Caenorhabditis elegans: one gene and its partner. The protein of the gene in region 1 interacts with the protein of each later gene in a biochemical or structural test. Each region holds a gene or a part of one and is shown in the gene's direction. Other genes may lie near its edges.

Region 1 (5,947 bases):
TTTCCACAGCTTCCAGACGAGACCTTATTCATAATTCGATTGCTGACAACATAATAATCCAATCTCCATCCAACATCTTTCTGCCGAGAATTCGCCAGATAACTCCAAAATGAGTACTTCTTCTCGTCGGGATGCATGGCTCTGAAGGTGTCGGTGAATCCCAACTCGAGCATCTCACTGAACCATCCACGTTCTTGATCTGTGAATCCCGCGGTTTTATTTCGATTTGATTCTGGATTCTGAAAGGATCAGGGAGTTAATTTATAATTTTTAAAACAAATTTAATACAATATATTTACTTTCAGATCAATTTCATTATGTGCAACATTCAAATCACCCCCGTAGATCACTGGCTTCTTCTCGTCCATCTCCTTCATCTTCTCGGTCAGCAGCTTCTCCCAGCGTCCTCGTTTCTCCAAATTCACCAGCTTCGCGCCCGAATTTGGAACGTAAGCTCCGATAAAGTAAAACTTGGAGAACTCGGCGATGATCAGACGTCCGGCAGTGTCGAATTCTGGGTCACCGATTCCTTTGTGAACCTTCATCGGAGCACATTTGCTGAGCAGCCCGACTCCTGCGTAGCCACCGTTCTTCTCTGTGGAGACGACGAGGGTTTTGGTGTAGTTCTGGAAAAAAATTAGCTTTGAAAATCGCTTTTTCAGCCATTTTCTCGCATTTTTCTGCTAAAATTTCATTCAAAATATTTTTAAAAAGCACATAATATCCCTATTTAAATGGAAATCTGGTAGAATTTTGACTTTTAAATGTTATTTTTATGCAAATTTCTTTTGAATTGCGATTTTCTTTGTAGATTTCAGGAAAAATAGTGAATTTCCGCTTGGATTTAATGGAAATTTCTACGTTTTTTCGTTTAAAATGTGTTAATAAACATATTTTTGATGAAACCCGGCCGTAAAATATGCGAAAAATCTCTTTTCTTCCAGGAATTCCTTACCTTAAACGTCTCCTCCATCTCCGGGGGCCACTCCTTACACTTGGTCTCTCCTAGAAAAACGAGGTCAGGCTCCTCGGCGAGCACTTCCTTAAAATCACTTTTCTTCACACAAGCTCTGAGCCCTGCCACGTTCCAGCACACAAACTTCCAGCTTTTCTGATTATTGTCCTCTTCTGCCGGCTTCACCTTCTTTGTGAAGATCGAGGCGAGCTTTGGTGCTGGTGCTTCTTCTGCTTTTCGCTTCGACATTTTCAGCAACAGGTTAGTAGTCGAGTAGGCTCTTGAACGGAGCAGCTGGGGAAGAAGAAAGTTGAATCAGGTCGGCGGATGGAAGGATGACAAATAGAGAAACTTCCCCGAATGTTGAACAGATTAGTTAGAGAATAGTTGAAATTGAATTAAATAATTAAATCGATAGTTTCATTGGATTGTTATTAATAATGAGATCAGTGAAGAGCAAAAAAGTAACAAAAACCCGATATGAAGATCAACTTATTTGTTGGCGAGGTTGACGCGGAGTGGTCTTCCATTGAACTCGGCTCCATTCATCTGCTCGACGGCTCTCTGTGCGGATCCTTCCTCGGCGAACTCGATGAAGGCGAATCCACGTGGACGTCCGGTTTCGCGATCACAGACGATTCTGAAAGAGATATTGCGTTAGAAATCATGAAGCTCGGGCTGGCTGGGAGAGTTACCTGACGTTGTTGATTTGTCCGATGCTGCTGAAGAAGTTTCCAAGCTCCTCCTCGGTGGTCTGGAATGGAGCGTTTCCAACTAAAAAAAAGGAAAATTTTAATTGATTTAAATATTTCGCAACCAAATTTGAATCTAAACACTTAAAATTGCCTTTTCAAATGAAAATATTAGGGAAAACTTCGCGAATTCGATTTTTCCGAAAAATCCCAAAATTTCAGGACAATATCGAGTTTTATTGGCTATTTTAACCAGTTTCCGATTGTTTAATACTTAAAATAAATTATTAAAAAACTAACCGTAAACAGAGAAGATTCCAGACATGACGATTTTAGGCCGTAGCAGAAAATTTATGACGGTTTAATTTTTCCGCTCACCCTGCCTTGGAGAAAACGTGCGGCAGTTGCGTAAAAACCGTGCCAGGGTTGCGTTTTGGCCCCGCCCCTCGAATAGCATCGATTTCGACAGATTTTTTCCATTTCAAGCTGAAAATATGAGGAATTAGTCCAAAATAAGACCGCGAAGAGTGTTGAAACTTGAATTTTCAGTTGTAAGCTCACATTGGGCTGCGCATAGCCCAGGATTCAAAACTTGCTCGAACCGAAGCCGTTCCTTCAAGCTTCTAGCCTCAACGCTTGCCATCAGATTGACCCCAAATGAAGATTCGAAATAAAAAAATAGAGCATATATATTTATGATAACGATTTCATGGGTTTATTATTATTGAGATCATTAAAGATCAAACAAGTAACAAAGTACCGATATGAAAATTAGTTGTTTCTGTTTTGAGCCAAGTTGACGCGTAGAGCTCTTCCGTTGAAATCGACTCCGTTGAATTGGTCGACGGCTCTCTGGGCAGCGGCCTCCTCGGTGAACTCGACGAAGGCGAATCCACGTGGACGTCCGGTCTCGCGGTCGCAAACGATTCTGAAAATAGAGATTCATATTGAGAGTTAACGGGTCGTCGTTCAGGAGGTTTCGGGAAGAGGAGATTTCGGGGAGAGAAGCTTACCTGACGTTGCTGACGTTTCCAGCCTGGCTGAAGTAGTTGCCAAGGTCGTCCTCGGTAGTTTGGAATGGAGCGTTTCCGACTGAAAAATGCATTAAAATTATTAAAAACTCAAATTATCTCAGCCTAATCAAATACAATAAATAGAAAAACGCCTGGAGAAAAATAAAAATTTTAGGCCAGACTTTAAATTCGGCTTTTCTCGATTAAAATCTGCTTTTAAAGCTGAATATTCCAGTTTTCTACTTGAATAATTTACAATTAACAAAACTAACCGTAAACAGAGAATCCAGACATGACGATTTTAGGCCGGAGCGTAAATATGTGTGATTCGAATCGTTTTCGCTTGCCTCCTCCGACTCGTGGGAAACCGTGCGGCACTTGCGGTAAAAGTGTGCCAGCCTTGCGTTCGCGCTCCGCCCCCTTTAGTCATTTCAGCGTTAGCAAACGCTGCGTCTTTTATTCCTCATTCTCTGTCATTTTTCATAGCAATTGTTTCATTTTCTCACGTAATTTGTCGTTTTTTCGCTGAATTACAAGATTTTCATCGATTTTTGACCCTTTTACACTGTAATTTTGCCAAAAAAACGATTATTTTCTCTATGTTTCCGTATGCGCCGCCTATATCGCTGAAAATTATCGTATTTCTTAATTTTTCGCTTTCAGAATGTTCAATCTTCAAAAACGAATCAACGGCAACAACGAGGACGGTCGGTATCTTGAAACCCGCATCGCCGTCCGTGACAAGCTCCTAGCTCAGGGTATGTGGCTGCTTTATAAAAAATTTTGATTTTACAACATTTTCAGAACTCCAACAGCTGGAGACTGCTCTTCGCGATCAGAAGCAAAAGCTGTGGCATCTCGAGGTCCCATCAACATCGTGTCTTCATGAGTTGGAACTCACCGTGACACCTCAAGAAGGAATCTATCGTGGAGGCAAATTCCGATTCAAGATCACCGTCCCGCCAGAGTACAACAACGTGCCGCCCGTTGTTAAGTGCCTGACAAAGGTTTGGCATCCAAATATCAACGAGGACGGATCGATTTGTCTATCGATTTTGCGTCAAAACTCGTTGGATCAATACGGATGGCGTCCAACGCGTAACCTCACCGACGTCGTCCACGGACTCGTCTCACTGTTCAACGATCTTATGGACTTCAACGACGCGCTGAACATTCAAGCCGCCCAGATGTGGAGTCAGAATCGCGAATCGTTCAATCATCGTGTTCGGGAATACATTTCTAGATATTGCTAAGGACCAACGGATCGGATTACAAATGGCCTGTGAATTGACCCCCCCTATGAAATTGATTTTGATTCTAACTTTTCCCCCACCTCTCAGACTTTTTCTAACTGTACTTTTTGAAAGAAATAAAATTTATTCTTGAGAAATTTGAGAACTTAAGAAGAGAAGAGAAAATCGAATAAATTAAACAAGTTAAAGAGATTTGGTGGATAAAATAGAACAGAGTCTGAAGGAATTAAATTAGATTGGCTTGATCTTGAAGTGAAGGCCAATGAGCGAGAAGACGAGGCACTTGAGATCCTGAACGAGATAGTAGAACGAGCGGAGACCATCCGGATCTTTCGAGTTGTTCACATCGGCTAGAGCTCCGATTTTGCCGGTCGTAAACGAGATGTGCTCGTTTTTGTACAGAATTTCCAGCTCCTGGCGTCCAATCTTGTCTGGTTCTGGCCAATTGTCATCGTCCTCCTGCATGATTTCCGAGTCTTCGATGATACGCTTGAGCTCGCTGAGCACCGATTCCGACACTGTCGCCTCTTTGCGGATCATCGTGTCATTCTTGTAGTTGGAGTTGTTCGCGTAGCGAAGCGATCCGTTTGGACGGAATTCGAATTCGAGAAATTCGTGACCGAATTTTCCCTGAAAATTGTTTCGTAAACTAATTTAAATTGGCGAAAATTGTCATTTTTCCAAGATTTTCCAAGACCTACCTTGTGTCCAACGTAGTAACGAACGTAAAAGTCCGCTGCCTTCTCTTCTTCGCCGCTCATTCTGAAAATAAATAGGAATTGAGAAAATCCAAACATCCATTAAATAAAACCGGGTGAAAATTAGAATTTCAAGGTAAAAAAACCTGATTTTTCAGTGAAAATTCACAAAAGAAAGATGATAAATAGGTTTATATTGTGATAAATTCGATAAAAACTGTGTTTTTAGACAAGAAACGATAGAAAATATCCTTTAAAATATAGAGAAAAGAAATCCGATAAAAATTCGAAAACGCCGAAATCTGTGCATTTGTGCGCGGCGGTGTATGCACCACCGGCACCACACTTGACGACGGAAATTTTTTAATTGTCGATTTAACGAAAGATTTAAATAGATTTGAGGATCAATAGAGGTTTAGAGAAGTTGAGATTCGTATAAATTAAAGAAATAGTTTGAAGAGACGATATAAATACAAAGTTAGTGCATACAGAAAATCAAGTTAAAACCAAATTATGCCACATTTTCGCCGCCATCAATCCGATTTTTCTTCATCTCCTCTTGCGCCGCACAAATCGGACTCGCGTGCCGTTTCATCGATTGAATATTCTTCGTCTCCGGCTCTTGACCATCGTAGAATTCCGCCGAATCTTCCACCTGAACGTCTTCCTCGAACTGAGTAACTCTGACGTCATCATTCTGATGATCTCGGATCAGTTTCTCGTCAAAAGTCTTCACAATTGAGTCACAACTCGTCGAAATCGATTGCATTTGGACCGATGGAACGTGTGGAAGTTGCTTTAAATTCTCCAAAAGCGCGACAATCGTTTGATCAATGAATTCAGGAGTGTTGAAGTTCGAAAGAGCGGCGAGCGGCTTTATGTGTAGTTTGTAGTCCGGGATGAAGTAGTCAAAGTAGTCGTGGAGGGGCAGATCTGGAAGAAAAATTGGCATTTTTTAGCGGGAAATTCGAATTTTCAAGATTTTTTGCCGAAAATAAGCCGTTTTTTCGCAAATTTCCGGGGGAAAAATCGAAATTTCCATACCATCTGAAACTTCTTGATTCAAAGCGATCGCCGTCTCGTACAGCCAACATCTGGAGACATTTCGAATCGTATATCCACCACCGCCAACTAACAGAAGCGGCACGTTGAAGCTTTTCATGTATTCCACGCATTTTCCGTGTCCTGAAAAAAAAAATTTTTGCTTATTTCTGAGAAAAAGGCCAATTTTTTGGTTATTTTCTATGAAAAAATCTAATTTTTGGTCATTTTCCGGGAAAAATTGGAGTTTTTTTCCGTGATTTTTCAGATGTTTTTCGTTAAAAATACGTTTTAA
Region 2 (5,583 bases), 1.5 Mb from region 1:
TAGCGCTCTCGACGAGTTCTATCAGAAACTCTGGATCGTGTGCGGGCTGAAATTTGTTTTATTTTGAGGTAAAAACTAATCATGTGTTATTCAATTAAAAAAACGTACTTTGAAAATTCAACGGTTTGCATTAATTATTGTTTTTTTTTATATTTGTTAAAATTTGAGTGCTTGTAAACGAAAAACTAGCAATTTAAAAACTTTCCTAAAACTAGTATTACTCATATGCGAGAATCCAGAGTCTAAAGTGCTTTGAATTTGTTTTTTTTTGAAGATTGAATTACCATGAGTTCTTCCTTCAAAAGTTTTTCCATTCGCGGCGAATAATCGGAAGAAATATCACAGGGAGCCTGAAAAGGATTCAACTTTAACTATCTCTGTTTCAAAAACATTATATATATATATATATATATTACCCCGACACGAAATTTTGCAATGTCTAAGCTTAAAATATGGTACTCGGTCTCGCCAAGACAAATTTTCGTTAACCTCAAAAAGGTGTGCGCCTTTAAAGAGTACTGTGACTTCAAATTTGTATAGACTTTTTATAGTTTAAAAAAAATGATTTATTGAAATTTGTGTTTTAATTGTTTTATTTTGGGATTTCAATAAATCAATTATTTTTAAATGAAAATCTATGGAAATTGAATGTTTGAATTTACAGTACTCTTTAAAGGCGCATGTCGCTTGGCGAGACCGGGTCCCGCATTTTTTAAAGTGTACAATCTCATGTCTTGGTAATATCAGACAACAAATTCTTACATATCTCGACAAAATTCTATTATAATAATGGAGAAGACCGGTTCCCAGACTATGAGCGAGAAGAGCCACAGTATCTTCGTGTACTTTCTCATTATATGGGAATGAGGGATTCCAGACGTCTCGAACGAGTTGTTCGGCTATCAGTGTTGGAGCTGAATCCATCGACTTTTTGGATAAAGTATCAGATAGAATATTTTTAACGTGATGGTATGCTTGTGATTCTGTCCATTGACGGTTGGAAAGTGGGGATTCTGAAAATGGACAAAAAATATTTTTTAAATTTCAGTATTTACTATACTTTTAGCAGGTGAAGCGAGTGGATCTCCAATACGTATCAATCGATGTTTCACCTCTGTATCCTGTTGCTGACCGGTTTGACCACGTGGTTTGGGCTCTACAAAAGCTTCTTTCAATGGTATCTTGTCGCTAACAATCATTGGAGCTGTATAATCAGTTAGAATTGGCGCAATTCGAGATTCATCATCATCGTCATATTCTTCACCTTCTTCATCTTCATATTCTTCCTCGTCCTGACTAATTTCTTCAGAATCACAATTTTCATCTTCAACATGAGACACTTCTTCGTCCTCCGTTGAATCATACTGTTCAGAGTCTCCATCTATCGGAGTAGCTCCTCCATTTGGAACTCGCTTCTCCATTTTGTGGCTTTTGCTCTGTGGCGTAACATTCCATACGTAATCTTGATTCTGAAATTTAAAAAAATTAAATTAGATTACATTCTGATAGATTTGAAACTTTTACCTCTACGTACAGAAATGCAGTAGGATCATTATGAACATGGCGAATAAATGTGTGAAGCTGTCCAGTAGTTGTGATTGGCACGTACAAACCATTGACTGAAAATTGTCTAGCTTTACAAAGAAAAAAATTTATTCAGAAACAAAAGGGACCTCGAATACTGCCTGAAAGCTGCAGTTTCTCAAAATTTGCAAACAACAGTTGAAGTACTTTTCTATCTTTCTATATAAATTTTCGATTAAAACTTCTACAAAACTATGAGAAACTTTAACTTCGAATTTTTGTCTGAAAATTCGCTCCGAAATGGGATTTTTTTGAGAAAATTACCAGAATAATGCAAAGAAACAGTTTCGTCGTTGGAAATTGTAGCCAAATAGTTGTATACATCCTCGTATGTAACTTCCACATTCGAACGATACAACATTCTCTGAAAAGAAATGAATAAATCTTGAACTATCAGATATTTAATTTACTTCTCGAACATAGAAGGTGAACTTTTTCTTTGGAGTTCCAACGTACATGTAGCTGATTGCCTGAAAGGGTTGATTTTAATGTTGTTGGACTCGAAATCTTCAGAAATACTTACGACAATGTGGTCGTTTTTGTTCTTTTGACGTTTTCGCGCATTGCCTGATGATTTAGGCAGTTGTGACATTACCATAGTAGGCATTTCGGCTGAAATTTAGTTTATTAAGTGGAAGCATTAATTTCAATTTATGAAAAGGATAGAGAAATGTCATTTAAGCAAGAAAATCGAAGGCTCTTTGGAACGCTTTATGGAAGAGTGCAAGTTCGGCCACAAGGCCAATGTCTATTTATTTTCTGCTCAATGAGTGCTCATTAATGGGCTTATAATAGTAGTTATGATGGCCGTTATGAATGGTGAAATAATTTATTTAATTTCATGTTTGGGTTTGTGTTTTGTTCTATTTCACCCCAATTTTTTGAGTAATGTAAATATAATTTCTAAATAGTGTTCCGTGATTCATGAATGATATTTTAATTCTCCTATCCACAAATCTGTTTAATTTTCATTATTATATCACATTCGACCAGTAGGAAATATGAAAATCGATAACTAGTGTTTAGGATGAACCTAACTGAACTTCCTAGGAGATCAGAACGCGCAGTATTTGTAAGAAATCGATTTGTTCTTGATACGCTGAGCGCATTTGTTCGAGAAAGGTACTTCATTCGCTTTTCTTTCGTCTTGACGAACGGTGAGCAATTTTCTATCTCATTTCTTGAATTTTTCTTCTTCTTTTCTCAATAATATATTTCATAGCTATGAGAACTTTTAATACTTCAAACAAAATAGATTTCGGACTAAGACTGAAATTAAAAATGAAAATAATATTATAAAAACAAAAATAAATATTAACAAAAAATAACTGCGTAGTAAGCTGCTGCGTCTCTCATATTCTCATGCTCTCTCGTTCGTTCTCGCGTTCCAAATGCGCTCTACCGGACCCCTCTCATCATTCTTCGAATTTTGTTCTTTTTTTCAAGTTTAGAGTTAAATCCATTGTTTTTGAATCACTTTTTATCTGTTAACGCAGTATTTTGAAAATTTTATGTTAATTTTCACCTAATATTCGCTATTTATCGTCTCAGTTTACAGAAAATGCTCATCAAAGTTAAAACCTTGACTGGAAAGGAAATTGAGCTGGACATCGAACCAAATGATCGAGTCGAGAGAATCAAAGAAAAGGTAACATACTTTAACTTCCATTTTAGCTAAATTTTATCTCGAAATATCCAACGAAAATTATTTTGCAGGTCGAAGAAAAAGAAGGAATCCCACCACCCCAACAGCGTCTCATTTTCGCCGGAAAGCAAATGAACGACGACAAGACAGCAGCAGATTACAAGGTTCTCGGTGGATCTGTTCTTCATCTGGTTCTTGCTCTCCGCGGAGGATTTTAAGAAAATGTATTCATATAAAATGTAAACTCCCGTCTGAATTGAGCCCGCTCCAAATAGAAACGAGTCACAGTCCCGAATGTCCCGTTTTTATGTCCAATCTCTCCAACTTTCAATATTTATTGTTACATCAGTTCTTTAAATCATATTCCTCATTTTATTTTCTGTGTTCAAATAAATAATGCATTCTTGATCTCGTGATGCTATTATTTTAAAATTAAAAGCAGTCCTGCCCTGAACGCAACGGCGAAACAATTAGTGCTTCTCATTGACAATTTTCTCCTCATTGAAAAGGAATATTAAAAAAAATCTCGGTAACTCTTAAAAATGTTTTTCATTTATTAGAAAGAAATTGATGAAAATAACACTATGGTAACAAAAAATCCTGAGAATTCGTATTACGCAACAAATGAGTACTGTAGCACTGCTGACGATTTACGGAAATCATTTATTAATCGATAAAATATTAGAATAAAAAAATGAAAAAAATAATACGGAGAAATTCATTTCGAAAATCGAGCCCGTAAATCGACACAAGCGCTACAGTAGTAATTCAAAGAATTACTGTAGTTTTCGCTACGAGATATTTTGCGCGTCAAATATGTTGTTCAATACGCATTCTCAGAATTTCGTGTTCCCGTAATAGATGGGTCTCATCGCGAGCAAAAAAGTTTGGTAACGCTGGTTGTACTTTCTTCTCAATTTTGATTGTCTCAAAATCACAGTTTTTCATTCGAATATGAGCGCAAAAGATTGGAATATATTTATCCGTCACTGGATGTCTTGTTACTCGAATTGTATGCTTCAATATCTTAAGTTTGAACATCCAGACATCAGTGACTTGCCTATTATTATGAATCTACCTAAGCATAAAATTGGACCACAAAAGTTCGAAATAACTCGTATTGATGGAATTAAGGCAGAGTGTAACGTCGTTGAATCCATGGATGGTTTCTTCACCTTCACAATGCAAACAATTTAATATCCCAATTTTACAATCTCCGTCCACAATGCGTAAATGAAGCGTCGATGTCATTCATGAAAGTGATCGAAAAAAGCAGCATGCCATTCTAATAATGTGTTAGTGTTTTCTAATCTTGTTCATACCTAACACATATTGCACGACATCTGTTTTCCCCAGTTCCAAAATTCGTGTAAAATACCATTCCCATTTTTGTAAATCGTAATATCATCTCCTCACTCCCATCTGTTTCCCCTTGCATTCATCTTTTTTCTATAAAATATTTACCGTATTTTTTCCAATTTACCATATTATCTTAAACATCTTCCGAAAATTAGTACTGTACTCCTTAATAATCTTGCGTTTAATTTTTTGTTTGGTGCAATCCCGCTTCACTAATTTTTAAGAGTTACCGAGATTTTTGTTTCCTGTTTTTAAACAATTTTCTCAAGTTTATAAAAATTGAAGTTATTGAACTTTTTGTTACAGTTATGATCAAAATGTTAACATCTCCAAATGAAAAATTGAGTTCTTTCAAGTAAAAATTAATAAGCCCAACACAAATAGTATAACAATCATAGAAGAAATACGGTTGTTATATTAAGTGCAAATCGAAAATGTATCCATATAAGATGGTGCCATATCAGCCATATCGGCTCTCGTTCAGATCACTTAAACTCAGAACTATGATGACGAAAATATGTTTTCTAAAATTTTCATTTCATTGGTAAATCGAAAGAACTGCATAACCTGAGGATAGCCTTCGTAAAATAGAATTTTGAAATAAAATACCCCGGTCTTGCTTATTGGTATGTCGTGAAGATTTCTGAAAAATTGTATTGCAGCCATACCAATAGACAAAATACGGCAGTTATATTGCATGTAAATGGATGAATTCTATATATTTTAGACCACAATTGTTTATTTCAGACAGGATGGAAAAATATATTCACAATAGACCAGAGACAGAAGAGAGAAGATCAAGAGGAAATAAAATAGAAATATCAAATAAAGAAAGTTAATTTATTTTGAATGAGATATGTGAAGAGATACGGAAACATGGACGATGTAGTCATGAGCTGTCACCGGAGCGTTTCTTCTTAAAAAAAACAGAATTATGATAATTGCCAGATTAATTTTTGGTTGTGAATGACGCAACGCATTGGACAATGATAATA

What was found.
Region 2: of the proteins of ubc-12 (region 1) and ned-8, one has a biochemical effect on the other in vitro, tested with the Caenorhabditis elegans proteins (one study listed by BioGRID).

The regions. Positions count from the first base shown.
Region 1 is NC_003279.8:11,908,003-11,913,949, forward strand, and holds ubc-12 (NEDD8-conjugating enzyme ubc-12), read left to right. Parts: upstream 1-3,317; 5' UTR 3,318-3,324; coding exon 3,325-3,418; intron 3,419-3,464; coding exon 3,465-3,913; 3' UTR 3,914-4,051; downstream 4,052-5,947. Other genes in the region: exo-3 (exodeoxyribonuclease III), read right to left, coding at 24-239, 300-626, 956-1,204; rbm-3.1 (RRM domain-containing protein), read right to left, coding at 1,448-1,595, 1,651-1,729, 1,948-1,972; rbm-3.2 (RRM domain-containing protein), read right to left, coding at 2,419-2,575, 2,661-2,739, 2,933-2,954; mag-1 (Protein mago nashi homolog), read right to left, coding at 4,145-4,543, 4,615-4,674; hda-3 (Histone deacetylase), read right to left, coding at 5,123-5,544, 5,656-5,796. UniProt on the Caenorhabditis elegans protein: Accepts the ubiquitin-like protein NEDD8 from the uba-3-ula-1 E1 complex and catalyzes its covalent attachment to other proteins. Plays a role in male tail tip morphogenesis.
Region 2 is NC_003279.8:10,371,422-10,377,004, reverse strand, and holds ned-8 (Ubiquitin-like protein NEDD8), read left to right. Parts: upstream 1-3,142; 5' UTR 3,143-3,145; coding exon 3,146-3,232; intron 3,233-3,300; coding exon 3,301-3,447; 3' UTR 3,448-3,632; downstream 3,633-5,583. Other genes in the region: hpo-35 (PB1 domain-containing protein), read right to left, coding at 1-46, 285-350, 763-1,013, 1,061-1,469, 1,525-1,619, 1,849-1,948, 1,995-2,054, 2,108-2,191; sptf-1 (Specificity protein transcription factor 1), read right to left, coding at 5,478-5,504. UniProt on the Caenorhabditis elegans protein: Ubiquitin-like protein which plays an important role in cell cycle control and embryogenesis. Covalent attachment to its substrates requires prior activation by the E1 complex uba-3-ula-1 and linkage to the E2 enzyme ubc-12.